Linked DNA regions of Diceros bicornis minor. The protein of the gene in region 1 binds, or shares a complex with, the protein of each later gene. Links are inferred from orthologs where the notes say so. Each region holds a gene or a part of one and is shown in the gene's direction. Other genes may lie near its edges.

Region 1 (7,194 bases):
AATTCTTGACAATGTTCTTCAGCCATCTCTTACCAGTGGATTCATTCATTAATTCCACAAATATGTGTGTAGCACCTACAATGTGCAGGCATTATTCTAGATGCTGTAGATACTGCAAAGAAAAAGCCAGATGCCTATTCTCATGGAGCTTACATTCTAGTTGGGGATAAAGGAAATAAACAAGTAGACAAACAATTTGAGATAGTCATAAGCTCTGTGAGGAAAATGAGACAGGACATTGTCATTGAGAGAGACTGGGGGTAACTAATTTGGAAGGAGAGGTCAAAGAAGGCTGCTCTCAGGATGTGGCTTTTGCTCTGACACCTGACCAAGGAAAAGCAGGTGGTCCAGTGAACAGCACCTTGGAGACAGTGAACAGCCAGTCACAGCCCCTGAGGTTGGGAGCCACTTTAGCTTGTTCCAAAGACAACCAGGAGGCGAGTGTATCTGGATCAGAGTAGACAGTGGGGAGTGTGCTGTAAGAGGAGGGCAGAGGTTGTTGGTCTCTTGTTAATTGTTCCATTCCCAGTGCCTAGAATAGGGCTTGGCACAAAGCCAATATTTGTTTAATGAGTAAATGAAGGTAGAGGCTCTGATGTGATATAATGATAAAACTACTGAAGATTCTTTCTGGTTTGACCCTACCTACCTTTTCAGTCCACTATTTCCTCGCACAGTCAAATAGACATTATTTTTCTTTTTTACCACAAATACACTGTGAAAACTTTTTTCTGCCATGTTTTGCTTCCCTATTATCCTTGCCTCCAGGTCTCCACGCAAGTTTTACTCTTTAAAACCCAGATATTGTCGCATCTTCTCTGTGAAACTTTTCCAAGCAATTCAAAATAGGGTAATTTCTCCTTCCTCTGAATTTCTTTAATAGCTAGCATGTGTGTCTTTTGTTAACACTCAACATAAAAAACTAAACAATTAATTTGTTAACAACTTTCTTTGTCCTGTGTCTCCAATCCAGGACTGTCTTGAGGGCAGGGGTTGTTGTCTATGTCTTGACATCTTAAGCACCTCCCAGTTGCCTTGCGCATGGTTGTTGCTCAGAGAGACTGCTGTTGACGATCTCAGTACCTCCCCATAGATGCTGAATGTCTGTGACTGGTGAGCTGAGAGCTCGTGTGGTTGGTGTTGTGTTTGGGCCCATGTGAGTCAGCGAACCTCCTTCTGCTCCCTCTGCAGGGGCGGGGTCTGGTGGTCCCAGGTGCACAAGGAGAAGAACGGGTGAAAAGGGCCTAGAGGAAGGAATGTGGATGATGGTCAGCCTGATGACCACCTTTAGGTTGTTGAACATCATCACACCACAAAAGGCAGTAAGTAAATTTAAAAATTCCTTTCCTAGCCAAATACTGTATGATTTCACTCATATGTGGAAGCTAAAAACAACAAGAAGCAAACACATAGATATAGAGATTAGCTTGGTGGTTACCAGACGGGAAGGGGGGAAGGGGGCGGGTGAAAGGAGTAAAAGGGCACACGCATACAGTGATGGATGGCAATTAGACTTTGGGTGGTGAATATGATGTAGTCTTCACAGAAATCGAAATATAATGATGTACACATGAAATTTATATAATGTTATAAACCAATGTTACTTCAATTAAGAAAATTAATTTAAAAAATTTCCTTCCTTTTGATGCATCAATAATCTCATCTTCATATTCAAAGTACAGCAAGTAATAATCTCTTATTTGTGGGAGAACAAAGCTTTGAATGAAACCCACATTTTAGATGTTTGAGGTGGCTGTGAGAGATAAGAACCAAAGTAAACCGAATAAATGAGAAGCAGTAGTGGCAGTTATTCACACTTCAGGAATCCAGGACTTAATAACCATGAACTGAACCTTGAAAAATGGCAAGTTCTGGAAATAAAGTTTAATTATCATGTAATCTTTATTATTGGGTTAAATTAACTATCACCTGGCAACATCTCTGCAAATGTTGAAAGCTTTGATGTCCAACTTAGGAGATACATGTACTTTATATCCCCCTCAGAGAGATGAACTTCAAGTGTGAAGCGTTTAGTCAACTTGGTCCTTCTTTTTAATCACTGCTCTAAAAAAAAATCCTCTTTTTTTATTCTTGTAAAATATTTATTTTATTATATTTTATATGCTAAATAAAAGTAGCCGTAGATATAATCTGCCCTGAGCCAACAGACCATACATCAATTCATGAATACTTAGCCGAAGGTATTTTCCATGAGACCCATGAAGCATTTCTAATTGAAACTTAACAAGCTACTATGCAGCAAACATTCTCATCTTCAGCTCTAGAAGGGAAATATGATTCTGCATGCAGACATAGAAGCTTTTTAATTTAGCTGGAAGAGAGTGTTTGTGACTGTGCAGTTGTGTGGTGTAATTTTTTTTAATTGCTGAAGTGTCATTGTTTGTTATTTCATATTTATTGAAAAATGTAAATGTCACATGTAACAGAATAGCAATAAGTCTTGTTCCAGCCTGATGGCTTAATCTTACTAATCATGCTAATATATGCTAGCTGGAGATGGCAATATTTAATAAAATATTGGAACACATTTGTTGTGCTTACATTTTAAGGAAATTAAAAAGTACCTTCATCTGCAACATTTAAAACTTTATTGATTTTAAATATGTATGAAACAGCGCAGAGATGATCACTGGAGGAAAATGGGTGTACCTCTGTGAGGATCTTAGTCATTCAACACATGAGCACGTGTGCCGGACTGAGGCACACCGTTCTGGAAAGAGAAGCAAAGATAGTAGCAAGATCTCACATTTATCTGCGCTTTCCATTTTGGGGCATCTTTGCGCACTTTTTTTTTTTTCGTTTGAGCTTCACAAGCCTCTAAGGTGGCAGAGCAGACACAGTATAGATGAGGATCCTAAGGCTAGGAGAGACTGTATCCACAAAGGCGAAGTCCAGGCCTTCCTCTCCTCATCAAATGTACATCAGTTATTCACCAATCTTATATACACACATTCAAATGGACGCTGTGCCTCCGTAACTTCTGTCAAAAGCGCTCTTTGGCGACTGGAAAAACGTCACGACTCTGTTTTGTCGTAAAGGGTGGGCGTGGTTGCTTGGGCTAAATCCCTCCGCCCCTTTCCCTTCACAGTTCCGGTGGCATACGTGGGATCCAGGGTCCTCCAGCTCCAGCACAGCAGCGTGCACAACTTTGCCCAGATAAGTTACTTGCTGAAAGCTAAAACGTGATTATTCATAAAACAGATGCAAAAGGATAATAAATGTGAATGACAGTCACTCAAAGTCGAAACCTTGGTGTTTTGTTTTTTGTTTGTTTTTAGAAGAACAATCAACAACTGTCATTTGAAGTTCACCAAGTAATTCTGCAAGATCTAATTCAAGAACAAGTACTGGTTTGAAATGGTTAAAAGATAAGAGTAAGAAGGACAGTACAGCAAAGTTTCAACACAACCCATACATCTCCTCTGTCTTACTCCAAGGCTTCCTAGATTGGAGCCTGGAGGACGGGCCATCCAGCCCTGCGCGAGGGGGGTGGCTCCCCACGCGAGCATCTGACCCAAAGACCTTAAGGGAAAGTCCGCCACGAGTCCTCTCACAACATTCCAAGTTCCGACCTAGCTCTCCTCATCGTGCCCTCCCAATACGCTTTCAGCCAACTCCTAATCGGCTCTAGCAATGTCGATCTAAAGCTTTTCTCGGCCTCCGAGTGGGAGAAAAGAGGAAGCAGGTGCTTCCCGGCCGGCGGACTCCGCGAGGGCAGGCAAAGATGCGCCCAACTCGGGGCAAGTTGGTTGGCCGCCTTCCCTCCTCGACGCGCACCGGCTCCGCGGCTTCTTCCAGGAAGGAGCGCGGATGGGAGAGAGAAGGCGGCGCGGAGAGAACTTGCGTCGCCGAGCCATCCTCAGCGGCTCCCGGGCGCAGCGAGGAACAGGTGCCTTTTCTCCGACGTCCGGGAGTGGCGCCTGCTGCACCTTGCCCGCTGTCGCGCCCCCTCCCGGGACACCCCATCGCCCTTTGCGCCCCCGCCCTCCCCCAGCCCGTCCCCCCCGATTCCAGGGTAGGGGAGGCGCCGGCTCGCAGGTAATTATTGTCAGCAGGGCCCGCCGGGGAAGCGGGGGTGGGCGCGCCGGCGGGGGGCGGGCGGCGCGGCGGGGCGCGGGCATAAAGGGGCGCAGCGCGGCGCCCCAGCGCCCGGCTCCCGCGCAGCATGCCCGCCCGCGCCCCGCCGCGCCGCCCGCGGCCGCCGCCGCCCCTGCCGCTGCCGCTGCTCCTGCTGCTGGCCCTGGGCGGCCGCCGCCTGCGCGCCGAGCCCGGCGACGGGGAGCAGACCTGGGCCCGCTTCGCGCGCCCTCCGGCCCCCGAGGCCGCGGGCCTCATCCACGACACCTTCCCCGACGGCTTCCTCTGGGCCGTGGGCAGCGCCGCCTACCAGACGGAGGGCGGCTGGCAGCAGCACGGCAAGGGCGCGTCCATCTGGGACACGTTCACCCACCAACCCCCGGCGCCCTTAGGCGGTCCCCTGGTAGCCGGCCTACCGACGGGCGCCCCCTCGCCGTCCCCACCTGCCACCGGGGACGTGGCCAGCGACGGCTACAACAACGTCTTCCGAGACACGGAGGGGTTGCGTGAACTCGGGGTCACTCACTACCGCTTCTCCATCTCGTGGGCGCGAGTGCTCCCCAATGGCAGCGCGGGCGCCCCAAACCGCGAGGGGCTGCGCTACTACCGGCGCTTGCTGGAGCGGCTGCGGGAGCTGGGCGTGCAGCCCGTGGTCACCCTGTACCACTGGGACCTGCCCCAGCGCCTGCAGGACGCCTACGGCGGCTGGGCCAACCGCGCCCTGGCCGACCACTTCAGAGATTACGCCGAGCTCTGTTTCCGCCACTTCGGCGGCCAGGTCAAGTATTGGATCACCATCGACAACCCCTACGTGGTGGCCTGGCACGGCTATGCCACAGGGCGCCTGGCCCCTGGCGTCCGGGGCAGCCCGCAGCTCGGGTACCTGGTGGCGCACAACCTCCTCCTGGTGAGTTCGAGGGGCCAGGCGGAGGGTCACGCGGGGAGAGGGCCCCTGGAGACGCCAGGGGCAAGAGGGGTGCCTGAGCCTCCAGCTCAGACAAGGCTCCATTTGACCAAGTTTGTGAGGTCACCTAGAATTGCCCCCCGAGGGGAAATGAACAGCTTGGGCTTCCCTTGGAAGGCGTGGAGTTGGGAATGGGAGGGAGATCCCGCGTTGGGCGCGCGAGTGAGTGCCCTTTGGCGCACATTCGTCAAAAAGAAATTAGAATCAGTTTCTTCAGTGAGAGGAGGGAGCTCCTTTCTCTGGGTCTAGGGGAATTCCTAGAGGTGAGGCGGGGAGAATTTACGAGTAGTAGCTACAGGGAGATGAGGAGGGATGAAAGACACGAGTTTGTTCGGAAGCCGCACAAATAGCATTACTCTGCTAGAGTTTGTGGTGATGTCATGAGTTCAATGTAAATCCTGTAAGATCTGTGTTGCTTGTGGCACAAGTTCACACTGCAGCAAATGCGAAGGTGTCAAAATCCCATCTTCTGGGAGAGTTTAAACTGTCTTTGGGAGTTCCTTCTGTGGCAGGGGACTGCTGCATCCACCAACTTGACTGAATCATCAGGAGTCTGAAGACTCCTTACACATTCTTAAGCAAAGCTAGCCATAAAAATACAGAAACAGCTACAGGGTAATGTAGATTGTGTCTTACAACAACTGTATTTCCAGGATGCTCTCTCCAATTGAAAGGATTCCTCGGGGATGAGATTATTAGCTGACAAAATTGATTTTAACACCCTTGTGTAAAAGGCTTAATACATTTTGACAGCAGGAAGTACTGACATGCCATGATAAAGTTGTCTCTCAAATAATTCTTCCTCCTTTTTCTCCTTTACTTAGTGTTCAAGATTAGGTCCCATTGATTTGGGGGATCATTTATAATAATGTCAGTGTTGGTACACTTCATAGAGTTTTGTATCATGAGAGAATATTTTATGTGTATGTGCAGACATTTGCATGAAACTTTAAATGGGTAACTTCTGGTACTGTATTTTGGTGATTTGTGGGCCTACTGGAAGACCTATTTTTAAATTTAGAATTAAATTACATATTTTGAACAAATTCAAGACAAAGACCACTTCTGCACACTTATAATTGAAGCCATAGGTAACTGAGGCAGAACAGTGCTGGGCTGTTGAGCTGACTTAGTGCTCTGAGCTGCCGGTAATGTTGTAATAATGGCTAAATTAGATTGTATGTTAGCTCCACAAAAACTGTTTGCTACAGATCATAAAAGAATGTTGGACTTTGATGAAAAAATAAATGTGATTTTAGTGATTTCCTTTTGATATGTATCTTTTCATTAAGATACTTTAGAGCAATGGTAATAAACTTTTTCAGTCTGTCAGTCCTTTTAAAGAATCAAGACTCCAAACACCACCTGTTTATCGTTGATGATAGAAAAACTATGGGAAGAATTGGCTCCTCTTTTGAAGAAAACATAAGCAAATTTCAGTTCATACCAGAAACAAATAAGAGATTTGTGGACCAGCTGGAGGACCTAAGAGACCATTTCTGCAAAATCACTACTTTAGATTTAAGTCATGCAAATTCTCTTTTTAGAGTGCATGTAATAAACTCTGTATGTATACGGAAGTCGTCAGTTGTTATTATAGTGACTTATGTGATCATTTCATTTATACGATAAGGAGTTGGGACTGAGGAGCTTTCTGGTACTCTGCTATTTTAAATAGCCAACATGCTTTTTATTCGTGTGCCCACTCTCGGCCCTTTGATTAACTTTTCAGTTATATTTCTGTATCCTTACAGAAAAAACTTGCCAAACACTAACCATCTTTCCCAGAAATGCAGTGGACTTTGTATTCATAAGAAATTAGTAACAAGTGGATCCTTGGTTTTGCTGATGCTGCAAACAAAATGCTAGTTGCTGTAAAATATTAATTTTGCTTTCGAATTTCTTTGGTTTGGAATTTAGTCATTCCTGTATCTTAGGAAGAAGTAAGTTCTCATTATCAAAGAAGGTATCTTAGTTTTTTCGTATGAGATATTTTCATCCTGTTTTCAGTGTTCTTTCTTGGTATATGTGTTGGGGGGAGGGAGATAGGGAAGTTTTGACCTTATTTGAAAAGATAAAACATGATCTGCAGATTTTGGTAATAGAGCATTTTAGCGGGGGCTTAGATATTG
Region 2 (7,415 bases), on another chromosome or scaffold:
GATCTGAGGTCTCGCAGTCTGAGTGAACCAAGGCGCAAAAAGGCGAGAATGTTTGGACTGAGGCTGTCACAACACATCCAAGAAGACAGCATCCCAACAGCACATGATTCATGGTGTTGCCCTTTTTGCTCAGCCTGCCAGGAAGCTCAGAGCTAAAATTAAGGATCTTGTACAGTAGCTAGTGTTGGCCAACAGATTTTGGAATATTTTCTCTTCTTCATGTTCTTTAAAATTTCATTTCTGTTATAATGAGCAAATCAATTGTGCTTTTTATTTTAATCCTCCTCAAATTTTCTGAGAGTAAATTAAAACGGCACGAATTACAACAGCCACAGCCTTTCTCCAATCTGCTCTTTCTTCTTTGGCGGGAGGGGATCAGCCAGCCCAGCTCAGTGGGGGTGTTGAGGGCCCCCCCCCTCCATCCCGTGGTAGCCTGCCCTCCCTGAGGCCCAGCCCTGTGCCCTTCCAGCAGGAGGGGTAGCAGTGGTTTCCAGAGAAGGCCGGGATGCATGTTGAGAGATGGGGCGCTCCCAGAAGGAGATCGAGCAGCCCTCCTGGGGGGTCCCAAGAGCCTCCTGGAAGGGTGGACTGGGCTGAGGAGACTTGAAGCTCTCTTGGGGCCTCAGCTTCCCCCATCTCTGCACTCAGCCTGTGACAGGGCAGAGGGAAGCTCCCCACAGCAGCCCCACCTCTGGGCCAGGCACTCCATCCCGGATGGGGCGCTGAGTTGGAGGCTTTGTTTGGGGGCTCCCCCTGCCCTGCGTGCCAGGCCCAGTGCTGGCCTTGATGGGCACCCATCGGGTACCAAGACATCCGCTGCCTACCAGGAGTGCTGTGGATAGCAGGTGGGATGTGGATTCACAGCCACACAGGAACGTCCCCACTGCACACCTCACTGCCACGTCCTCAGCATCAGCCCAGGCCCGGCAGCAGGAGGTGAGGAGGTGTGGATGCTGGCCGGCTGCTGACAGCCTGCCATGACCCCTGTGCTCGGCACACTGCAGCCGCTCCCCTCCCACGGCATCCCCTTCTCGCTCACCGCACAGGCCCCAGCAAGCTGGGCCGCCCAGCTCTGAGTCACCAACGGGCTGGGCCGGTCAGCCCCCCGACTCTTGCCGCGCCCTCAGCCTCCCACACTCACCTTCACTCAGGACCCAGGGGGTGTGGGCCTTGGGAGACGGGGTGGGTGTGGGGGGAGTGGACAGGGAGACGTGAACACTGAAGGGGCGTCAGGCAGTGTGGAAGTCCCTTGCAGGCAGGGCTGGCCAACCCAGGGACCCTTCCACCACCACTGGCCCTCAGCAGGCTCTCCACCCCCTTTACACCTTGCTCACCTGTCCAGGGGGCCCAAGGAGGTCCCATCTCAGCAGAGCGCCAGGAAGACAGAGCCAGGTAACACTGCAAAGGGTCTTGGGGGAGATGCTCCATCAAGGGGGCTCTGAGCAAATAGTGGCTACTAATGGCTAATTGATAGAAAGCATTGCCAAAATTGGAAACGGTGCAGAAGGTATCATGAACAACAGGCCTCGCCCCGATGTCAAGGGAAGGCCTGTGAAACAACACCATGCTCCATTCCAGTTGACCATGTTGCCTTGGAAACAATAATTGTGAACAATAAAATCATTTGTCAATAACAATAACAATGCCTTCAAGCAATGCCCTCCCCTGGTGGTGGGGGTGGGCACAAAGTGGGCAACAACTCCTTGGGTGTTAGTAACGGGCAGTGCTCAGACCCTTTGGAAGGAATTTGGCAGAATCAGCCAAGAGCCATGAAAATGCTCTTGACCTTTGACCTAAATGCCACCAGACAGTGCCCCTGGACCACTTCAGACTGTGGGCGGCACCAAAGGAACCAGCCACCATGGGGTATATGGAGGACAGAGTGGGGGTCCCCAAAAGATAGGTCCACATCCTGACCCTCAGAACCTGGGAAAGTGAACTTATTTGGAAAAAAGGTTTTTGTGGCTGTCATTAAGTTAAGCTCCTGAGACAGGAGATCATCTGGCATTATCAGGGTTGGCCTGACATCCAATGACAAGTGTCTTTATAAGAGACAGGAAGTGGAGATGGCTGAGTGACTATGGAGGCAGAGATTGGAGAGATGTGGCCACAAGCCAAGGAACCCCTGGAGCCACCAGAGGCAGGAAGAGGCAGGAAGAACTTTCCCCTAGAGCCTCCAGAGGGAGCACGGCCCTGCTGACACCTTGATCTCAGAATTCTGGCCTCCAGACTGTGAGCGAGTTTGTGGTAATCGTCATAGCAGCCCTAGGAAAAGAATACAGGGTGTGAAGTACCCGGGGGGTCACCCCAGGCCTGTTACTGGAGGAAGAGAGAGGCTTATCCCCTACCCTGCAGGCCTGAGAGGGAACAGGACACAAGTGGACAAACCCACACAGAAGCTGGAAAGCAAGGGAGCCTGCGATGTCGTGTGTGGGGTCAGGCTTGTGGGGATGGAGGGGAGAAGGGGTGGGGGGCACGTAAGGAACAGCTAGAACAGGCCCACGATCCCCCATGGGCACTTCTGCCAAGGAGACAGAACTGAGGGCCATGAAGCAGAAAGCTGCTTGCACAAAGATGGATGGATGCTCATCTCTGAGAGACCAGGGCACGCAGGACACCCTTCTTAGGGGGTCCAGGCAGGGGCTGTGGGCACCGTCCTGGGAGAGGACCCACAGCGGACGATGCAGAGCCCTTCTTGGGCCTCAGAAGGGTCCCATGGGAGACCATCCCTCAGGTGGCCCCTCCTCCCTGCCCCACCACAGGCTATATCTTGCCACAAAGGAATCTGGAGGGCAAACCTGACCCAGGCCCCCAGAGGAAGGGGGCCAAGAGGGACAGCAGTCCACACCCATCGGCATATTAAGTAACTGATTAGTTAAGTGACTGGTTAATAGATTAGAGCAGAATGTGCCACTGTGGCCCCTGGGATGATACCCCAGGAGAGGACCTAGGTGGGGGTGGCCTTGGAGGGGTCTGGACAGCCCACTGGGGTTCAGCAGGCCCCTGGCCAGTCTGGGGGACACAGGCTTGACCAGAGCAGGCACCAAGAGCGGCATATGGCAGAGGTGCTGATCTGCCAGGTGGGCACAGAGGCTAGGAGTGAGGACTACCTGGGGGTGGGGTCCTTCTAGGGCCCTCCAGTCTGGCCTCAGAGGCTGGAGTGTCTCCAGGCTGGCCTCTCGCACGGCTGCTGCGCCTGGAGCTGCGGGGTGGCTTGAGCAGCCAGTCACAGAGAGGCTTTCATTGCCCATTTCCTGAGGAGCAAACCAAGTCCCAAAAGCCACAAGCCAGGTGGGCCAGAGGCCCTCGGGTGGGGCAGCCCCGAGCCTTGCCCAGGTGTCACTCTCTCCCGTCTCTGGCTCCTGTAGGCTCCCAGCCCCCCTGGGCTTGTGTGGAAGTGGGAGAAGAGCCCTCTTCCTTGTGAAGGTGTGCACAGAGGCCAGTCACACTGAGTCCTCCCTAGCTTGAATCTGTCCCACGCTGCAGTGCACCAGGACCTGGCACACCTCCGGCCAGCTCAGGCTCCCACCTTGTCCTTCCTCAGAGCCCTAAGGTTGGCCTCCCCTAGCTGGGGCCCCAGCCCCTGCTCTCCATTCTGATGCCTGGCAAGCACCCAATCCCCAAACTTATTTCCTCTTAGGGGAGCAGGAGTAATAACCCCCCTGGCAGAGAACTCAAGCAGCTTAGCTACATGTGTGCCACAGGTGCTTAATAAATGCAGCAGTGAGCCCACAGCTTCTGGGGTGCAGTCCCCTTGCATTCCAGCCCCAGGCAAACAGGCCGACCTGTCCTTCACCCCCAGGCCTTTGCATATACAGTTCCCCCGACCCGACCCGGGTGCCGTCCTGCGCTCCTCCACCTGAGATGGGCTGCCCACACCTCAGGGTTCAGCTGGAGCAGGTACTTCTCCGTGAAGCCTCTCTGACATGCTTCTCTCACCAAGACCACCCCTCTCTATGCCCCGGGGTTCCCCAGCCTGAGCCCCTGACCCACGGCGGGTGGTAACCTGGACTGCGCGCTGTGCAAATAGAGGCCTGCTTTCGGCCTCTCTGTGCGCCTGCCCAGCGCGGGGCCGCCCTCTGCGCGCGGCCCAGCGGTGCGACTGGGGCCCTCGTCCGCCCAGCTCGGGCTCCCACGCCCTCCGAGACCGCCCGGCGCCCCCGCCCGGCCCCGCCCCCTCTAATCCCCTCCGCGGGCGGGGGCAAGGAGAGTCGCGGCCCCGCCCCCAGACCGCCCCAGGGGAGGGGCATGTCCCCGTGCCCCAGCGAGTCGGGGCGGGCGTGGCCGGGGAGGGGCGTGGCCGGGGCGGGTCGGGCGCGGGCCGGCCCCCACTGGCTGCCGCGCGCCGGGCCGCCGGGGCTCAGTGCGCGGCGGCGGAGGCGGCGGCGGCGCGGGCAGCTGGCGCCGCGCGGTCCTGCTGAGCCGGGCGCACGGACACACCGGCGAGCCGACGGCCGGGGGACGGGGAGCAGGCGCTGGGCCGGCAGGCAGCGAGCCTGAGCGAGAGCCGCGCTCAGCGAGTCGGGCGCCGGCCGCCGCCAGGTTGGTGCGCGGGGGCCGGGCGAGCGCGGAGAGGTCCGGCGGGCGCGCGGCGGGGCCAGAGCGCGCGGCGGACTCGGATCCCGAGCGGTCTCTGCGGCGGGGCCCGGCCGGGGCGCGGGCTTCCCGCTCTGGAAAGTTTGCCGCCGCCGCCGCCGCCGCCCTGGGAGGGCTCTGCAGCAGCCAGGGAGGAAAGGGGGAGGGAGGGAGGGACCGCGGCGGGGAGGAGGCGGCCGGCGCCAGGCGGCCCGGGAGCCCTGGGCGGCGGCGGCGGGCGGGGCGGCCGGGGGTCGGAGGGGCCGGAGCTCCGGAGCCGGGCCACTGCCGCTTCCGCCCCTGAGCGCTCCGGCCCGCCTGGGTAACGAGCTGCCCGCCTCCTCCCGCAGACTCCCGAGCGGCGCCCTCCTCCCGCCGGTGCCAGAGCCGGGCCATGGGGGGCAGCATGCCCGCGCGCGCCGCCTGAAGACGCCGTAACTCCCGCCCCCGCGATGGGCGCCCCTGCTTGCGCCCTCGCGCTCTGCGTGGCTGTGGCCGTCGTGACCGGCGCCACTTCGGGACCCCCGGGCACGGAGCAGCGCGTCGTGCGGAGAGCGGCAGGTAAGGAAGGACTCGACGGGTGCAGGGAGGGGCCTGGGGCCTCACAGGCAGAGGCGTCTGGGCCCGAGAACGGGCGCCTGGGTGGATGGGGGGCGCCGGATCTGAGTGGGCCCGAGGGCACGCCCTGGGCTGGCACCACGGGACCAGTGTCTGGGTTTCTACCACCCTCCCTCCCCGGGGATCGCGGCCAGAGCTGGCGCGGCAGTTTGTGGGGCGCCTGGAGCCGCAGGGCTACCACCCAAGTTCGAAGCTGCGGCGGGGAGCTGGGCACCGCGGTGGCGTCCGCAGCCCCCGCCCCCGCGGTTCCCCAGTGGGGCGCAGCCTGTCCCTAGGCGCCGTCGGGAGGGCGCGGGGCTGCGTCTCCAGGATTCCCATTGTTGCTCGGCGGGTTCTGCACTGACGGAAAGTTCCTATTGTTGGTGCCTTTCCCTCGAACCCCCTTCGAGCCCCAGTTCATGGCCAGCTTCGGCCAAAGCCTGAGGCCGGACTTTGGAGGGAGGGTATGAGAGGGCGTCAGCGCACGGCCTGGTCCCTGCCCCCCAGTGGCCTGCATGACGAGGTGACACCTTCCAGTGCCTCCGTTTCCCCACCTTGCTCTCCTGCCCTGTGGATGAACGTGTCTGCTGCCTGGGGGTGCGCATCGAACGCCAGGCGGGGCGCCCGGAGGTGAGAGGGCGGATGTCCGAGAGACGTGGAGCCGCAGACCCCAGCTCGCGGTCAAGGTCCGGCGGGACGTTGAGGGTCTGTGAGGAGGGCCGGCGGGGCGAGGGCAGGGGAGGGGCGGGAGCGTGTCTTTGCTCCGGGCCCCGCCCCGCACACGCGCCGCGGTCCTCGAGGTGCGGCCGCACGCGGCCCCCCGCCGGCCCGGCCGAGCGCTCCGGTGCCGCCTCTCACACGCGCGGCTAGGCTCCCGGCGGCCGGGCAGAGGGGCGTCCTGGCCCCTGGGCACAGCCAGCCGCGGGGCGCTGGGAGGACCGGCGCTGGCGAGGGTGCTGCGCGCACCCCTTTGCCGGGCCGGCGGCCGCGTGGAGGGAGGCCTTCGCCTGGTGAGCGCACGCCCCACCCGGGCGAGACCCGAACAGCCGCTTCTTTGTACCTCGGCGCGGCCACAGACCGAGCATTGATGGCGGCCGCCGCGGCAGCCTCACGGGGAGGTGTGAGTTGAGAGGCTGCGGGCGCGCAGTGCCAGGGAGGCGGTGGCCTCGGGCAGGACGCAGGCAGATGGCGGCCCGCCCCTCCCCGCGCCCCCGCGCCCCTTTCTCCAGCGGCGGCTGCAGCCTCCGAAACAATGTCATTTTTTTATGAATGAACGTGGGCCGGGCGCTTGAATGTGCGTGTCATTCAGCGGCGTGACAGGGGCCGTCGGGAGGTCAGCGCGCGCTTTTACCGCCTGCTCGGGCGGCCCCCGCTTCCAGGGGCGCAGAATAGGCTGCCGCGGGGGGAGCCCCGCATTAGCATTCGCATTCAGATGAAGATATTACTCCCTACCGTCCAGGAATGTCAACTAGCCCCGGGGGAGGGGGCAGTGGGCGGGGCTCCAGACCCTCTCCTGGACCCCCTGTGGCTCACGGAGGGGTCAGTGGTCCCCTCCATCCCCCCTTTGGGCACTGACAGAGCCTGCGAATCCGGGTCCTGGGGCGCAAAGCCTGTGGTGCCCCACCAGATGCGGGCCTGGGGCAGAGCTGCTAGAGGACCCCCCAGGGGGCGCAGGTAGGGGGCACAGGGCCTTCTCCCTCCGCCAGAACTCGCCCCCCCAGCCGCCTTTGCAGTAGAGCTGGCAAAACAGGTAGTGAGTTGATAGGTCAATAAACTTAATCCGGTTCCTTAAGGAGACAGGCCAGGCAGTAAAAATACAAAGACGTCATGAAATTTACAGAGGTCCCGGCTGGCACTTTCCCGGGAAACATAAATGATGGAGCTGGAGCTGGCTGGGGTCAAGGACCGCAGGGAAGGTGTCCGCCACTGCACTGCGTTGGCCATCCCAGGCCCTACCAGGGCAGCCTCCATCTCCACAGGGGGCCATGTTCTTGGGCAGGGCCCCCCACCACCAGGAAGGTTGATGAGCGGCGGCTCCCTCTGTGGTCTGACCCCACCCAGCCAGGAGGGGTCTCTGAGGGGTGCAGGGCATTTCCTGGGAAGGCGCTGGCTGCAACCTCCCCCACCCCCTCCTCATCTGGGCTGGACTTTGAGCCCCACAGGCCTCTGGGTGGTTCATTAACCTGGGCTGAGCCCGAGGCTGGACTTCTGGCCTCTGAGCCCCTGCACTGAGCCAGTCCATG
Region 3 (7,960 bases), on another chromosome or scaffold:
CAACCCCTTGAATCTGGACTGGCCTTGAGACTTGCTTTGATGAGAGAATGCAGTGATGTGACATTGTGCAATGCCCAAGGCTAGGTAGGACTCAGACCTTGCAGCTTCCACTCTTGCCGCTTGTGAAAGGAAGTCTGGGCCAGAACACGTGGAGGTGAGAGACCACGCGGAGAGAAAGGCCAGCAGCTAGCTCCATACATGTGAAGGAGGCCATCTTAGACCCTCCAGCACAGTGGAGCCACCAGCATAAGTGACCTCAGGAGAGACCAGCAGAACTGCTGAGCTGACCCCAGCTAATCCACAGAATCATGAGCAATAACAAAGTGTTTTAAATCACTACATTCGGGGATGGCTTATTATTCAATAAAGGCTCCCGGAATCACCAAGTATAGTAACCATATCTTGTTTTGGCCTCCTGGTATCTATTTACCTTTCTTCCTGTAATAGGATTACCTTGAGGACCCCCACCCTCAGCTTATGTGGTCTGGGTGGGGATGACCTCTACCTTCCTGGCTTCTGCTAGAACTATGGGGAAGGAGTTGCTAAATGGGAAGATCTTGAGCCCAGAGCTGTTGACAGCCTTCTTTGTCACCTCTTGGGGAGCATCTGCCACAGAATAGAGCCATAGGGAAGAAAGCAGAAGAGAGAATTGGTCTTGATCTAGCTGTTCCTGAAGCCAAATCCACTCTTGGACTTTAAAATTGTATAACCCAATAAATTCACTATCTTGCTTAAGCCCATTTGAGTTGGGATATCTGTGAGTTGCAAATGAATGAAAATGTTCCTTGAGGGTCAGAGAGTTTGATAAGGGCTGAGCAGTCCCTGTCAGAGAGTTGTTAGGGTAAGACAGAGGTCCTTAAAGAATGTGGGAAAGGGAATTTATTTTTCCTCAGCCCCTACTGTATGTCAGGGCCCTGGAATGAGAGACAATCTTTGTCCTGGAGGACCTCATGGGTACAAATGACTCATTACAATTGTGATAAAGTGCTGCATATAATAGGAAGACTGAGCCTAAGGCTGGGAGTGGGGCAGGAAAGTTCCCCTGAGGAAGTGACTCAAACTGAGATTTGGAGGATGAATACAAGTTAGCCGGTGGGTGAGGGGAGAGAGGTGAAGGGAGATGTTCCAGGTAGAGGGAACAGCATGTGCCAAGGCCCTGAGGCAAGAAGATGCTTTTCACCTGGAAGGAGGGATAGTGTGTCACCAAGTAAGGAGAGAGACTGGCAGGAGCCAAGTTCCTCAGGACACATCAAGATTTTCAGCAAAAAGCAACAGAAACAAACTCCAGCTTGTTTAAGTTCACGGAACTACCAAGAGGACTAAAGAACTAGGGTCGGGGTACACGACCAGCATCCCCCTGTATCACATCACAGAACGGGTGCAGAAAGGACACCTTTGTCTCCACCAACACTAAGCACTGGACACTACTGCCTGTACCACTAGCCCAGCCAGCCTGGAGACTGGACAGGCTCCCAGTGCCCCATGCCCAAGAGCTCAGTCCTGTTACCATGGCCCCACCAGGGAACATTCCTCCTGGGCCTCCCTAGCCCAACTCCTGGGCATCTTTGGTTTTCTGGAATGGATGCCATGATTTCGCAGAACTGAGCCTTAGCTGGAAGAGAGATTGGAGGAGTAGCTAGCATTTTCGGCTTCTGTCATGAGAGGTGAACTCTGCCACATAAAATGGGGATATTCCCAAACCTAGAAAAGGGTTCAGATGACAAATGCCAGGGTAAGAGCTCGTCTTGTGGTGGTTCTAAAATATGTCTGCAAAATTTTTTATATTCCTCTCTTCAAGAAGTCAAGTTTCATCTCCTCTCCCCCTACCCCATTCCCTGCCCCCATGAGGGCTGTAATTAGTGACTCACTCCTGACAATTAGAAGAAGGTGAAAATGATTGAGTGTGACTTCTGAGAGGAACTTGTGCAAGACAGCACAATGTCAGTCTCCTCTTGGCTCACCAGCTCTGAGGGGCACCAGCCCACATATCATGAGGACACTCAAGCAGCCCTGTGCAGAGGCTCATGTGAAAGGCAATGGAGGTCTCCTGCCAACAGCTGGCCAAATATTTGTTACTTTAAGCCATTAAGTTTTGGGGTAGTTTGTTATGCAGTAACAGATAACTAATACAAGTTTTTATCCTAAAAGCAATGGGAAGGCATTGAAAGCTTTTAAACAAATAAGAGCAATGACATGATGAATTTGCTGACATGTAAACAGATGAATACTATGGCCTAGGAGCCGACAGAGGATAGTAGAGACACAGAGGAGGACGGGGTAATTTCTACTGGGGAGGACACTTTTTAGGAGCCTTTCATCTATAGAGTTAAAAAAAAAAGGTCAGATTAGCTTAAGAAAAAAATTATTTCACTCATATAAATGAAATGTTCAAAGAGGTAATTTTGGCCTCAGGCATGGCTGGATCCAGGCATGCTGCATCTCCTGGCCCTCTTGTTTCCTGTGTTGGCTTCATTCACAGGCAGGCTGTCTCAAGTAGTTCTAGGCTTCCATAGTCATACCTCAGTAACCTCTGAGCATGTTAGTTTCCCACTAGTTCCAATAAAAGGCCCAGACTGGCTCTCGTTGGCCCTGCTTGGGTCACATGTTCATCTCTGACCCAATCACAATAGCCTGGGGGATGGAATCTTCTCATTAGCCAAGTCCAGGGGCACATGCCCACCATAGGAGCCAGGGAGAAGTGTTGGCTCCACCCAAAACCCCAGCGGACTGGGAGTAGGAGAGAGCCAGGACCTCAAAGAAAATTGAGGGGCTGTTTCCAGAGAGAGGAAGAGGGTTTAGATGTCCAGTTCATGGTGGTCAGGGAGGGTCTCAGAGAAGAAGGAATGCATGAGAGGAGTCCAGAAAAAGGAATGGCAGGCACCTGGGGGGATGGCTGGAGGGAGCCAGAGAGGCACTGGCAGCAGCAAAAGCAGCAAGGGCAAAGGCACAGAGCTGTGAACATTGGGCATGCTCAGGAGGGCCTGCTGGAGCTCAGTGCAGCCGGAAACAGAGCACGTGTCTCTGGCGAGAGGGGAGACGGCCCGGGAGAGAGCAGCAGAGGCCAGGGGCCCTGAGTGCCGCTCTGAGGAGCTGGGGATGCCCGTGGGTGGTGAGAAGAGAGTAGTCAAAGCTGAGGGTTGACTCGGTTAGGTCTGTGATTTAAAGAAGCCATTGGGGCTGCTGATGAGCTTGGTGACGCAGAGACTGTTGGGTGCCTGCCCCACAGTCAATCAATCCTTCTTTTTACTCTATTAAAGCCCTGGTTTTGTTAGGGGAGGCAATGCGTCCAGCAGAATAAACATGCTTCCTGGCCATGTGTCACAGTCTGGCCAAGGAGATAAATAAAATCAGAAGTTGCTGGGTGCAGATTCAACCCTTTTGTGGCTTCTTTCTTCCTCCTGCATGAGCACAAATGTGATGGCAGGAGCTGAAGCCACCAACTTGAAACCATGAGGGAAAAGTCTAGAGAATTGAAGAGACTGCAACTCTGACTTCAGACCCACTTTCACCCACCTCCAGACTTGGGGCTAAGTGAGGGATGAATAAACCCCTGTTTTGTTTAAGCCCTTGTTATTTGTGCCCAAACAAAATCCTATGTGGTCCAGGTGAGCATTAGGCAAGATAGAGAAGGGTGAGGGCCCCTCTGGGGCTTGTTTCCTGATTCCCTTCAGACCACAAACCCTCTAGCACTTCCTGCCCAGCCTCTGCCACTTCCCAGGTGTCCTGGCCCCCTCCCTCCTCCAAACAAATGTGCATGCCAAGATCCAGGGGATGTGAGGTTTGTAGGCCCAAGTCTAGAGAGAGCTGAGTCTGGCAAACCATGAAAGCCCCAGACACTCCCTGTCCAAATAAGCCAGGACATGGGCCCACAGTATCTGGGACCAGGGAACAAGGGGACCAGGGGAGCTGCTGAGATGCTGGGTAGCACCAGGACTAGCCCAGAGAGAGCCTCAGATCCCTCCTAGCCCATTCCCCTCCATCTGGCTTGTTCTGAGGGGCCTCCCCAAGAGCTCTCCCAGGCTGCCGACATCAACGCCAGGCTCCCGGCCTCCACCACAATGCCCTGGGCAGCCTGCAATTCATGGCTTTGTTGTCTCCAGAGTAGAAATTCGACATAGATGTGCCCAAGGGGTGGGGAATGCGGAGATTTGAGGGCTGGAGAGGGTGACCCTCACATTCTTCCCTCTTGGTCACAGGAGTGAGTTTCCCATACCTTCAGGTGGGTCCCACCCTGGACCATCGTTGTTAATATGAATATCTGCCACTCTTTACTGAACATGGCTGTGTGCATTAAGCTTTATATGCAGCACCACACTGAGTCCTCACAGAAGAGCCATCATTCCCATTTTATAGAAAATGAAACTGAAGCTTAAAGTTAAGTGACTTGTCCAAGGTTACAAAGTTTTCAGGATTCAAACCCACATCTATCTGCCTCTAACACCCAATATTTCACCACTCAGTTGCTGTCAACGTCACCTCAATTTTAATGAGCCAGGCCAGGCCCCCCCGGAGCCTGTGGGAGAAGCCAGGATAGAAAAGGGTTGGAAAAAATGGTAAAGTAATAACAACTGTCAATTCTGAGTAGCCACTGTATGCTATTACCCTGGGTAACTTTTTCTATATTTCAAAACTTTCTGAAAATACAAATTGTTTTAAAAGAAAGAAATGAAGGAGAGAAGACAAGAAAGCGCAGGACTGGGTCAGAGGCTGGGGCCGGGCTGGGGCTGGAGCGGGGCCGGGCAGGGGCTCAGGGCAGCCCTTCCGCACAAGAGCTGCACTGTTCCAGGGCCCGGCTGCCATCCAAGAGCAATACAGTAGGCACCAGGCAACGTCGGCCCCCTCCCCCCAACTCTGCTCCCAGGCAGGTGAGGGGCGGGGCATGGCCTCAGGAACCCCTCCTGGCCCGGCCTGGCATTCCAGGAGCCTCGGGCCTGGTGCTTCATAGGTGCCCCATCAGTACTGCAAATGGGCAGGGAGAGCAATACCCAGCCGCAGCCTCCACACACCCTCCCCTTCAGGTGAATCTCCACCTTCCAGGGTCACAGGTAAGGATGGGGGCAAAAAGTGGGCCGATGTGTTAGCATCCACAGTCTCAGCTCTGTGGACAGTCACCCTGAGCTCTCTCTCTTTGTCCCAAATGATTAGGGTTCAATCTCAGTTCTGTTCACTTGCTATGTGAATTCAGACAAGTCATTCCATTTGCCTGAGCTTCTGTTTCCTCACCTGCAAAACAGAGCTAAGGACTCCTACCCTCATTTGGCTGACGGGAAGATCAAAGGACTTAATGCCCATATACTGCCTGACCTTGTATGATGCCTGGTATACAGGGGAGCTCAGTCAAAGCAAGGACTTCTTCCCTACTTCCTGTTCTGGTGAAACCCATTCCCACCTCTTAACTCATTCACTTCTTCCAACACCCCTGGGGAAAAGGGGGCAGGAGTGTGCCCATTTTCTGGATGGAGAAACTGAGGCAGAGGCAGGCTAAAGGCAGGATCTTAGAATGGCAGGCTTCTGAACCCCTGCTAGGGGTGTGTGTGTGTGTGTGTGTGTGTGTGTGTGTGTGTGAAAGTCTTTGAGAGAGAGACTGTAAATGCAACTGGTGAAAGATTGTTAACCAAAGAGTGAGCCTGTGACGGGCAGACGGGCTAGGATTCCTCTCCCAGACAGCCTTGGCATGCCTCCTTCTGGGTTCTGCTTACTTATCTACCTCTCCCCACAATGCCAGCAGCTCCTGGAAGGGTGGAGGCTGGGTCTGATCACTGCTTTATCCCCAGGATTTAGAACAGTGCATCCCACATATTGAACCCTCAATAAACAGTAGACGAGTGAAGGAGTGAATGAATGACTCTGTGACAGAGCGTCAGGCTCTGCAGAGGGTCAGTGTGAGAGGCCGTGAGTGTGGGAGGGGGGCTGAACAGGGGATGTGGGGTGGAGGGGTGAGGTTGCCAGTCTAAGGGTCTTGTGTGTCTCAGGGGGCAGGGAGGTTGCACGACCTGGGCTATGAAAGCCTCTACTCTGCCTTTGGCTCAGGCGAACTGGGAAAGCGCCTGGAAGTTGAATGAAAGCTGTGTAGGGTCCAGCTCCTGCTGGCAGCTCACCCACCCCCAACAACCACATTCACTAAAGGGAGCCAGCAGGGACCAGAGGCAGGGAGCTGAGTCTCTCCAGGAGTCCAGGAAGCCTGGCGAGGCCCCTCTGGGCAGGAGGCTCCCATTTGCTGCGCATCTCCAGTGCCAGGAGCCTCAGCCTGCCCGAGTGCTCCAGTGAGGAAGGACCCTGGATGAGGGGAATCAGGACAAGCTGTTCTTAAAAGTTAGCCAATTGTCTGATTTATCTTTGGGAGGAGGCCATTCTTTAGTTTGAGAAGGAAAAGAAAATCACTTTAATGCGCCTTTTAGTCATACAAAGGAAAATCCTCTATCCCATTGGGAGTAAGAGTGGAGAAAGCGGAGACCTCTCCTCATAACAATGGGAACGGAAGCTGCTTCCCCCAGGGCAGAGTCTCCACCAGCCAGAGGGCTATGTGGGAAGGGGAGCCTGAGACCCCAGGGGAGGGGTTTCCTTTCTCCTCAAGGAACCTTCAGAGGAGTAGAGGGCTGGGACTTGAGGTGAGGGTTGTGCAGAAGTCAATGGTTGGCTGGCCTCCTGTTTGGCCACTGTCAAGATGCTCAAGTGCTTCCAGGTGAGGCAGACCTGAGCCATGTGGGACAGAGCGATTCCGGCCCACCCACTGTGTGCCAGGCACTTGAGACACAATGGTGGGGTCTGCAGGGAGTTCCTGCCTTCTGTTTACAGAATTAACTCTTTAGTTACAATTCTGGAACGTGTCATGAAGAAATAATGGGTCCTAAATAATCACGGCTAACACTGCAAAGCAAGTGCTATATGTCAAGCAGTGTTTTAGAACAACAGGCTTACACATACCAACATGTCTACTTTTTGCGACCATTTTGTGTGTGTGTGTGTGTGTGTGTGTGTGTGTGTGTGAGGAAGATTGTTCCTGAGCTAACATCTGTGCCAGTCTTCCTCTATTTTGGTTGTGGGATGCCGCCACAGCATGGCTTGATGAGCGGTGCCCGAGGTTCCAAACCAGCAAACCCCAGGCCACGGAAGCGGAGGGTGCAAACTTAACCACTACGCCACTGGGCTGGCCCCTGCTACCACTTCTTGAGGATACTATCATCACACCTGTTTCACTGCCGAGAAGAGGAAGACACAGAGATGGAGTAACGTCCCAAAGCCACTTGTGATGGTGCGAGATCGGAGTCCTGCGATGTGTGATCTGAACCACCTCCCTCCCAGCTTCTTTCTCCATGCTCGCCGAAGAGAAGCCACCAAAGAGGAACGTGTGGGGCCAGCCCGGTGGCGCAGCGGTGAAGTGCCCACTCCGCTGCGGCGGCCCAGGGTTCGCAGCTTCTGATCCCGGCGCGCCCCACATAGGCTTGTCAAGCCACGCATGGCAGCGTCCCATATAAAATAGAGGAAGATGGGCACAAGGTTAGCCCAGGGCCAATCTGCCTCAGCAAAAAAGAGAGGAGGATTGGCATCAGATGTTAGCTCAGGGCTGATCTTCCTCACGAAAAAAAGAAAAGGAAGACGGTGGCAAGTCCAGAAGGCTTCTCCGAGGAAGCGAGCTGAGACCTAAGAACGAAACGAAGCTAGCCAGACCTAGAGGAGAAAGAGCATTCCAGGAAGCAGGCACCACGCGCGCAAAGGCCCAGAGGTAGGGTGGGAGCAAGGAAGAAGTGAATGAAGGACTCGTCTGGAGATGTGGGCAGGGCCAGGTCACGTCAAGAATCTTTATAGGAAGCTGTTGGAAGGTTTTAGAGGGGAGGTTGTGGTTGGTACAGTCGGGTTTGTATTTAAAATACCAATCGGAAGGTGTGCAGAGGACGGACAAGGATGAGGGCAGAGGGGGTCTGCTAGCCACTGTCCCGCGATTGCGCAGAAGGCAGAGCAG
Region 4 (7,825 bases), on another chromosome or scaffold:
GAGGAGATTGACCCCACGGGAGGTATCGGGTCTAGACTTCCTAGTCCACCTCCCAGGACTGTTTTGAGCATCAAATGAGACACTAGGTGTGAATGTGCATTGTAGGTTGTGAAGGGCTGGGCAAATCCACACTAAATTCTGCCCTGTACATTGTAAACACTTGGAAGACCAGGACTGTACTTTTTCATTCTTAGGCTTCTCTAAAGATTTTCTACAAAGTACTAGCCATAAAAATAGGCTTTCTCTAAATAGTTACATGTTGATTGAGTGGATATATTAGAACAAGAAAGAATCTGATTGCATATAAGGAAGCACATTTTAACTGAGTTAAATAAATTAAATACTGCATGGTAATATTTAATTTATTAATAAATTTATAATTAAGAAATAAATTTATTAATAAATTAATAATCATATTACCAGCTTCTGGTAAGACGCCGCAACCCACCAGGCTCAAACTTCCAGTTATCTGGTAAGTTTATGAATATTGACACGGATAGGTCGGTAATGACTGTTGATGAGAAGGCTAGGCATTTTACTGCTATTTACTTCACCCTTTTTAAAATAAGCCTCGATTCTCAAATGTGTAACACGAAACGTTGCCACCTGTTTTACACTTCACACAGAGCATAAAAGGTTTTTTTTTTTAATAAGAATAGCAAATGTTTGAGAGTATTTAATTACTGAGAATATTTAACTGAGAATAAGATATGGGAGTGGCATTTTCAGGAAGACTGTAGCACCTCCCAGATAACTTTGAAAAGAGAGGAAACAATCATTTGTCCTGGATGGCTTAGACACCCACCTGCCTGAACCTAGGGACCGGATGAGCCAGATGACGGTGAAACCGTTGTGGAAATGACGGAGACAAAGCATGACGAGGTCGCAATAGGGAGCAGAGGCCTGCCAGGTCCTACCATCTGCAGACGGAGCCTTCACACAGAGCCTCAAGAAGAAAAGGAAACCGTGAGCCACCCTAAGATCACCTCCCTGCTCCCGGTGCTCTTTCACCCTGATGCCTCCAACATGTTTTCATCACAGCCTCACAGCAGTCAAGACACGTTATATTTTGAAAATTGTTGAAAAGTCTTCACATGGAGAGAATGTGATCTGGGGAGATAATCCTTAGTACCTTCCCAGAGAGGACTGTGAGAGAAAGAAGTCAGAGGATAAGGGAAAGGAATGGGATTGTGGGAATATAGATTCCTATAGCCTCCATCCCATATTTAAAGCCTTGATTCTGTGGTTGTAAATGCAGGGACTGGACCAGAGGCCCCTACGCAGCCCCCCAGGGCAAATTTTCCTGAAGCCGGAGCAGTGGCTTGTGGGGCAGGCTGGAGAAGAGCAGGTGTCCCCACCTGCCACCTCCCAGGCAGCCACCAGGGCCCCAAGGCCAGCGATATTGAAAACCACAAACCACCAGCCTCCTCCCCGGGCTTCCTGCTCCCGTCAGTGTTTCATATTTGGCTCCTAAGGTCACACTAGCTCCCAGATCCTCCGACCTGAACTGTGACAGATGAATGCCCTCTAGATGCAAAGAACAGAAACCAACTTACCCTGGGCCCTCCCTTCCCTCACCATCTGATGCTTCTGAGAGATGCCACACCCACCAGGCTCAAGGATCAAAGGCACAGTGTACTGATTTGGTGTTCAGTACTAAAATTTCCTGGAAAGGACCGTTCACATCTTACCCTGCCCAGTTAGGCTGGAAATCCCAGAAGGGAGTGGCAAATGGAGAAGCGGCCTTGGTTTCTGTGTACTAATTCCAGTGCATGGTTGGGATGCAAAGTCTGTTTCTTGACAAGTACTTTAGCGTCATTAACATCTAGTGTGGGGGATTAGACTCTCCCAGGTAGATTTGAAAAAAAGTGCAAATAACTGGGCTTCACCTCTGCATGTTCAGTAGGTCTAAGATTAGTCCTGGGGTAGTTTCTGTGGTTCTAACGGGCAGCCAGCTTTGGAACCCTCAGGTAGGGAGTTCAACCAGGAGCTGGAAATTCTGCTGTCTGCATGCTGACAGGCAAATCCTCGTCTCTGCTCTCAATTTCCTATATCTCAGGTGGAAAGAATTATTCTAGTAGTGTTGTACCTTCTTTTACTCTCGTCAAGTGGGGAATGCTTCTCTCCTCCCCCATTCCCTTCATAAATAAACCTGCTCCCCTGGGCTGTCCTCTGCTTCAGATTCGGCTGCTAGGCATTCAGGGCTTCTTCCTGGAGGGAAGTCTTTGGAAGCGGAATAAGCTGGCACATCAGTTCTCTTTCCTAACAAGACAAGCTGAAGAGGCCAGGGACGGTCCCCCTCAATCAGCCCAGGAATGGAACGATGCCCATGCCCTCCTCCCAAGACACCTGCACTCCCGCCCCAGCGTGCCTTGGGGTGCTGGGAAACGCCCTGCCTGTCCATCCTACAAGGCTCCCTCGAGTCTCTCTTCCCTCCAAGCCCTCCTTAACCACAGTGTCCACCCACCGAAAACTCCCCCTTTTCTGAACGCCCTTAGCATTTCTTACACATCTAGTAATTCAGCTCCTCTCACAAGCGCCTTATATTGAACCAAGTTTTTCTCCGCTCAATTGTATTATAACCCCCTTGAGGATAAGTTTGTTCTGCTTTTTATTCCTATAACTCCCTCTTCCCTTCTCTCTTGCTCGGAGAAGTTTCTCAATACGTGCTGATTGTTTCACAAGTACTTCCCACCTCTACCACTCGAAACCAGAAGAGGAAATGTAGGGGTATCAATTGGCAAATGTTCCTGAATGATTTGCATTTCAATTCTGAAAGCTGGCTATTTCTTCGTTAGCTAAGATGTGGTACTATATTTATGAACCATACTGTGACCATTATGAAAGAAGACTGTCTTATACATAAGCATTTAAATGTCCTAAATCTTCTACCTAACCGGGGGAGACAACACTCTGTATCTTAGAGACACATCCTGGTTTTACTAGAGAAAAACCAAAGAGTACTATTGGTTTGTCAATGGCCCCGCTGCTCCTTGCACTCTCTTACCAGGCTCCTGGCTCTCGCGGCTTCGGCCCTAACACGCTGTGTGGGTTTATACATCCAGCGGTGCTTAGGAGCTCTGGAGTCGGGCTGCCCAGCTTCAGGCCCGACCTCTTCTGCATAGTGGCTGCACACCTGTGGGCACGTTACTTAAACTGTGGACACCAGTTTCCTCGTCTCTGTAAAGGAAACAGCAGCACCTCCTCACAGGGCTGTTATGAAGATTAAATGAGTTACTACAAGTAAACCACCTGGTAAGCTCTCAGTAAATGTTAGTTGTCACTGTGATTATTATTGCAGAAGACCTTGTCCTAGCTCTCCCATTTATTTGCTGCGTGACTTTGGACATACAAACCCCAAGATCTCCATTTCTTCATGTATAAGATTAAAATATTGATAATGCCTGGTGTGCCTATCTCACAGAGTTGCAGTGAGATTCAAATGAGCTAATATATGTGAAAATGCTTCATAAACTAGAAAAACTCGTACAAATGTAGGATAACAAATGGCACTTCTTTTTGCCTGCACCTGTGTGATCGCACATCCCAGTGTGCTTTGTATGACGGTTACTTATTTTAATCTGCCTCCTCCATTAGCTTGTGAGCTCCTTGAAGCAATGATCACATCTTGCTCCCCCTTCTCTCAACCATGATGCCTGATGCCTGCACATGGTATGTACTCAGCAAATGGGAAATGGGTAGAGTAGCAGTCTCCGTGTGCATATACGTTTCCAGTATGTGTTCCAGTAGTTTGCTCCCCGTTGGACTGCATGTGCTAGGACTATCCCCCTACATCAGAAGTAGCTTCCCAGAGGGCATACCTGTGAGCAGCATCTGCAAGAAAGCATCCAGGCCCAGGAGCCAGGCACCCAGTAGACACTAACTGTGGGGACATCCTGGCCTGCTGCTCTGCTCCTGGGACCTTCCTGGTCTCTGATCCCCTGTGCTCCGTCAGCAGCCTTCCAATCTTCATGAGGTCTCTGAATGAGTCTCCATAGTATTGGAGAGACAATAAGAGCAGTTTACTCTCCCTAGACAGTCCAAATTAGGGAAACTGAGAAATCAAATCCCAGCATTTCATAAAGCAGCAGTGACTTCAAGACCTTGTTTTCTTTCCTCCCATTTTGAAATCTTCCCAAGGAGGCAACGTTGGTTTTTGTGCCTCTGCTCACAGCTTCCATATCTTTATGAGGAGGCAGTCTTGGAGGATGCCATTTGCCTGATGGTGTCCTGTATTATTTCAGTATCCTTCAAAACACCCACCTAGTGCTGTGTACAGAGAGAGCACTGGATACATAGTCCCCGATTGGAATTAAAAGGACTGAGAAAACCAAAATGAGTAGACTCAATAGGAGATTAATTGCATAGAAGTCAGTTGACTGCATAGCTGAAGCTGGATTTTTTTCGGAACCGCTGACTGCCTTCACATTTCCTGGTGGAAGTTGGGACAGGTCAACAGACAATCCAGAGTCCGAGATAACTTTTGCCCACACATCATTCACTTTTTGGAGCGTTGGCTTGAAATTGAGGGGTGTGTGTGTGTCTGGAACCGACGTGCCTTCCGTGAGCCTCAGAGGTCTCTGCACTCTCTCCAAATGGGCTGATTACAACACAGAGGATGTGGACAGTGGAGTTTTTCCTGTTTGATGTCACACGGCTACCCTTTAAAAGTCCAAGGGGAAAAAGGAGGGAATCCAGCCTAGGATCCTCACGCCAGATATCCACAAGGAAGAAGAGGAGAAAAGGCCAGCAAGGCACAGCCTTGAGTGGAGGAGGCAGTGTCAGGTTTCAAACTCCGTGCCAGCCATTCAGAGAGTGGCGATGTCGGGGGCCTGCCTTGGGCTCTTAGTCTGCATCCTGTGCTCTGTAGTGAGAGCCTATCCCAACGCCTCCCCGCTGCTCAGCTCCAGCTGGGCTGGCCTGATCCACCTGTACACGGCCACAGCCAGGAACAGCTACCACCTGCAGATCCACAAGGACGGCCATGTGGATGGCACACCCCAGCAGACCATCTACAGTGAGTAGGGGCTTCATTCAGGCTGGGAAGAAGGGGGAGCTCCTCTGTCCATCCAGCTACAATGGACTTGGGGCTGCCTTGGGCTGGACCAGAAGACTAATCCAGTTTCTTGCCCAGGATCCACTTATGTATGTGTGTGTGTGTGTGTGTGTGTGTGTGTGTGTGTGTATTTTTACACCTTGGGAGAAGATTCTGCCACATCCCTAATTAGTGTTTACTGGTTTCTCCCAACATGAATAATTTCTATCTTAACAAAAATCCCTCTTCCCACACTAGCAGCCACTTTCTCTTTGTCCTGTCCAAAGAGTCAAAAAATGTACAGAAAGAAAGGCAAAGAGGCTGAGAGGAAAAGAAGCCAGGTAGATCAATAGACATCCCGTTTTAGCTCATGAACTTTGGACTGGGTTAGCAATGGAGGTTGTAAAGAAGATTCCTGTATCAGACCAAGGGTTAGAATAGATGAACTCAGGGGCTCTTTCCAACTCTGAGCTTCTAGTATTCTAGCCTTATAAAAATTCTCAGGAAAAATGTACTAAAGACAGACTGTTCAGGTATATTGTCTTGATGAGCCTGACCAAGTGCATGAATCATCCATGCACTCATCTGTCCATGCATCCATGCATCCTTCCATCCAACAGGTTTACTGGGGGCTTCAGAAGTACCCAGTTTGGTATGAGTTGGTGATTCATCTCTGTGGAGCTGAAAGTTCCACTCGGTAGCAAATTGAGCTAGTTGGGAACACCTTGGCAACATGAGACAACTGGAATGTTTTCAAGATTAGGTTTGTGGAAAGTTGGATCACAATCCACAATAATCAATCAATTAGCTATGATTCAAATGAGGGCCCCTTGGTGTGCACCTATATAAGGGATAATGAGGTGGGCGGGGGGAGAGATATTGAAAAAGACAAGGTCTTCTATTTTAGGAAAACATCTAAAAATCACTCTAAGGATAAGAAAAATGCAAACTGATTCAATATAGATCAAATTAAAGTAATGAAAGAGTAACCATAGTCTTTTAATTAAAGAAAACTTCTTATAGGAATAATGATTTGCTCTTTATTGTTGTACTGAATTAATCAGCAATTTTGCTGTGGCCTTTCTGTGTAAGGCATTCATTCTGCTAAGAATCAAAGGTCCTTAAACCTGGTGGCAAGATATATGCACATGCAAAGCCAAGAGTTCACACCCGTCCGGGTGCTCAATGGATGGTCATAGGAGATGAGAGGAGGGAGAAAAGGTATTTCCAAATACCAAGTGGGTTCCAGAACTCAAAGGGATATACTAGGATTCTAGAGTCAACATCTTGGAAGCCAAGTTCGAGTCATTAGCAATAAGTCTGGATACATTCGATGCATCCAAAGTGTTGCTCCTTTTATTCCATCGATATTTAACAGAACCTCCAATATGTCTGACATTGTGCAAAGCTCTGTGACTGCACAAGAAGACACAGCCCTTCAGACACCTCACGATCTTTCATCCCTTCTTGTCTCCCAGCTTATTATCAGACTTTTAGGAAATATAATTTTGCACCTCGCCTGGAGGGCCACTCTTGCTTCCACTGCAAGATGATAGGTGATTTAAAATGCGGGATAGTGGATTGTGGTAAATTATTGTGATTCCCATAGATGGAAAGGGCTTCATACAACTAAAGAATGCTTATAATACTTGTCTAGAATCATGGAATCCCTTCACTGAAAGGAACCCTCCAAAGACATGTCCTCCTGAACAAGACAAAGAGCACAGCAGTGCAACCTGCTGTGTGGGCTGTGAGTGGTACTGATTTGTAGAACTTTGCTCTCAAATATCCACCGGCGTCGGGCCCAGAGGAGGCACTAAGGACTAGTTGGACTGAATTAAAATGACTGAGAAGAAGCAAAATGAATTGAACTGATTTCAGAATTTTTTTTTTTTACAGAAATGTGATTTTGTTTTGTCAGGTATAGACACTAGCTAAGCATTGTGTCTCTGGAAATTAACACAAACATGGGGAGGGGAACGCAGGTCAGCGTGGTGGGAAGGAGACACTTCCTAGTTTATAACACCTTTTGTACTATTCAAATCAGTTATCATGTGTATTACCAAAAAAAAATTTATACACTAAGATAAAAAGTTACCAAAAAAGGAAAGAGGAAACACTGATGCGTATAGATGGGTGGCACAAGTATTTAACAGACTGGTGAAAGATTCTCCCCAAGGAATGTAAAACAATGCATTTACACTGATGGAAAGATGTGGGGTGATTTTTCCCCCTTAATTAATTATAAGTTTCCAGTGAAATCTGGTTCACTTGATTATGGTGCTTTAGTAAATTCCTGATTAATCATCTTTGGGTTTTGTGAAATTATCTGCCTACAAGATTCCAGGACCTCTCTTGGGACTGGCAGCGCTGATGTCATGGAGCCGCTCCAGTGTCTATGTCAGCTGCCCACTATGAATGAGGCCGCCCTCCCACGCCCTGTCATTCTCACCTTGTGGAAACGGCAGAAAGGAGATGCTTATTACCCCTGGTTAATACACTTCCTAGATCCTGATGTTTTTACTTCCTCGACCTTCCCCACTGGCACTTTCTTTACTTGAAGCTGAATTATCCTCGGGCTCTTTCTTTTGGGGAGCTCAAAGCACTTTATATCTATCATCTTATTTATCATTTACTGGCTATGAGAATAGAAAGGGGCAGATAAATTTCTACTTTTATAGCAGAGGTTGAGGCGAAATAGCAACAGTAGACATTTCTAGCATTTAGAAAGTGCTTTTATAGTGGATAAAAATATTATCTCATTACATCCTCAAGACAACCAAAGGAGGT

What was found.
Region 2: the proteins of KL (region 1) and FGFR3 are in contact, whole or in part, in a cryo-EM structure (PDB 7YSU), measured with the Homo sapiens proteins. The link is inferred for Diceros bicornis minor from reciprocal best matches to the Homo sapiens genes KL and FGFR3. Residues at the interface, in NP_004786.2 of Homo sapiens: Ser539, Gln540, Phe541, Thr542, Asp543, Asn545, Val546, Tyr547, Leu548, Trp549, Asp550, Val551, Ser554, Lys555, Arg556, Leu557, Val563, Lys566, Arg568, Tyr571, Val573, Ala576, Pro580; in NP_000133.1 of Homo sapiens: Gln286, Leu288, His290, Val291, Val293, Gly299, Thr303, Pro304, Tyr305, Val306, Thr307, Val308, Leu309, Lys310, Glu320, Leu324, Ser325, Leu326, His327, Asn328, Val329, Glu332, Asp333, Thr338, Leu340, Phe347, His349.
Region 3: the proteins of KL (region 1) and FGFR4 are in contact, whole or in part, in a cryo-EM structure (PDB 7YSW), measured with the Homo sapiens proteins. The link is inferred for Diceros bicornis minor from reciprocal best matches to the Homo sapiens genes KL and FGFR4. Residues at the interface, in NP_004786.2 of Homo sapiens: Ser539, Gln540, Phe541, Thr542, Asp543, Asn545, Val546, Tyr547, Leu548, Trp549, Asp550, Val551, His553, Ser554, Lys555, Arg556, Leu557, Ile558, Val563, Thr565, Arg568, Tyr571, Val573, Ala576, Gln579, Pro580, Glu625, Arg628; in NP_001341913.1 of Homo sapiens: Asp266, Gln282, Leu284, His286, Ile287, Ile289, Gly295, Ala296, Asp297, Gly298, Phe299, Pro300, Tyr301, Val302, Gln303, Val304, Leu305, Lys306, Asn311, Ser312, Glu314, Leu318, Tyr319, Leu320, Arg321, Asn322, Asp327, Thr332, Leu334, Leu341.
Region 4: the proteins of KL (region 1) and FGF23 are in contact, whole or in part, in a cryo-EM structure (PDB 7YSH), measured with the Homo sapiens proteins. The link is inferred for Diceros bicornis minor from reciprocal best matches to the Homo sapiens genes KL and FGF23. Residues at the interface, in NP_004786.2 of Homo sapiens: Phe377, Lys385, Leu389, Glu390, Pro392, Trp417, Phe418, Ser420, Lys429, Tyr432, Tyr433, Lys436, Phe437, Arg468, Ser471, Ile472, Arg556, Arg693, Asn694, Met695, Thr696, Tyr697, Ile735, Val752, Phe755, Asp756, Asn782, Asn783, Leu785, Ile812; in NP_065689.1 of Homo sapiens: Leu39, Met74, Ala80, Val88, Arg91, Leu166, Ile167, Phe169, Asn170, Ile173, Arg175, His177, Asp184, Ser185, Glu186, Arg187, Asp188, Pro189, Leu190, Asn191, Val192, Leu193, Lys194, Pro195, Arg196, Ala197, Arg198, Met199, Thr200, Pro201.

What each region holds. Positions count from the first base shown.
Region 1 is NC_080748.1:15,775,764-15,782,957, forward strand, and holds the start of KL (klotho), read left to right. Parts: upstream 1-4,186; coding exon 4,187-5,005; intron 5,006-7,194. UniProt on the Homo sapiens protein: May have weak glycosidase activity towards glucuronylated steroids. However, it lacks essential active site Glu residues at positions 239 and 872, suggesting it may be inactive as a glycosidase in vivo.
Region 2 is NC_080747.1:1,167,760-1,175,174, forward strand, and holds the start of FGFR3 (fibroblast growth factor receptor 3), read left to right. Parts: upstream 1-4,401; 5' UTR 4,402-4,542; intron 4,543-4,925; 5' UTR 4,926-5,027; coding exon 5,028-5,136; intron 5,137-7,415.
Region 3 is NC_080740.1:90,307,532-90,315,491, forward strand, and holds the start of FGFR4 (fibroblast growth factor receptor 4), read left to right. Parts: upstream 1-4,955; 5' UTR 4,956-5,045; intron 5,046-7,668; exon of another isoform or gene 7,669-7,723; intron 7,724-7,960. UniProt on the Homo sapiens protein: Tyrosine-protein kinase that acts as a cell-surface receptor for fibroblast growth factors and plays a role in the regulation of cell proliferation, differentiation and migration, and in regulation of lipid metabolism, bile acid biosynthesis, glucose uptake, vitamin D metabolism and phosphate homeostasis.
Region 4 is NC_080756.1:57,137,428-57,145,252, forward strand, and holds the start of FGF23 (fibroblast growth factor 23), read left to right. Parts: upstream 1-4,821; coding exon 4,822-5,017; intron 5,018-7,825. UniProt on the Homo sapiens protein: Regulator of phosphate homeostasis. Inhibits renal tubular phosphate transport by reducing SLC34A1 levels. Up-regulates EGR1 expression in the presence of KL. Acts directly on the parathyroid to decrease PTH secretion. Regulator of vitamin-D metabolism.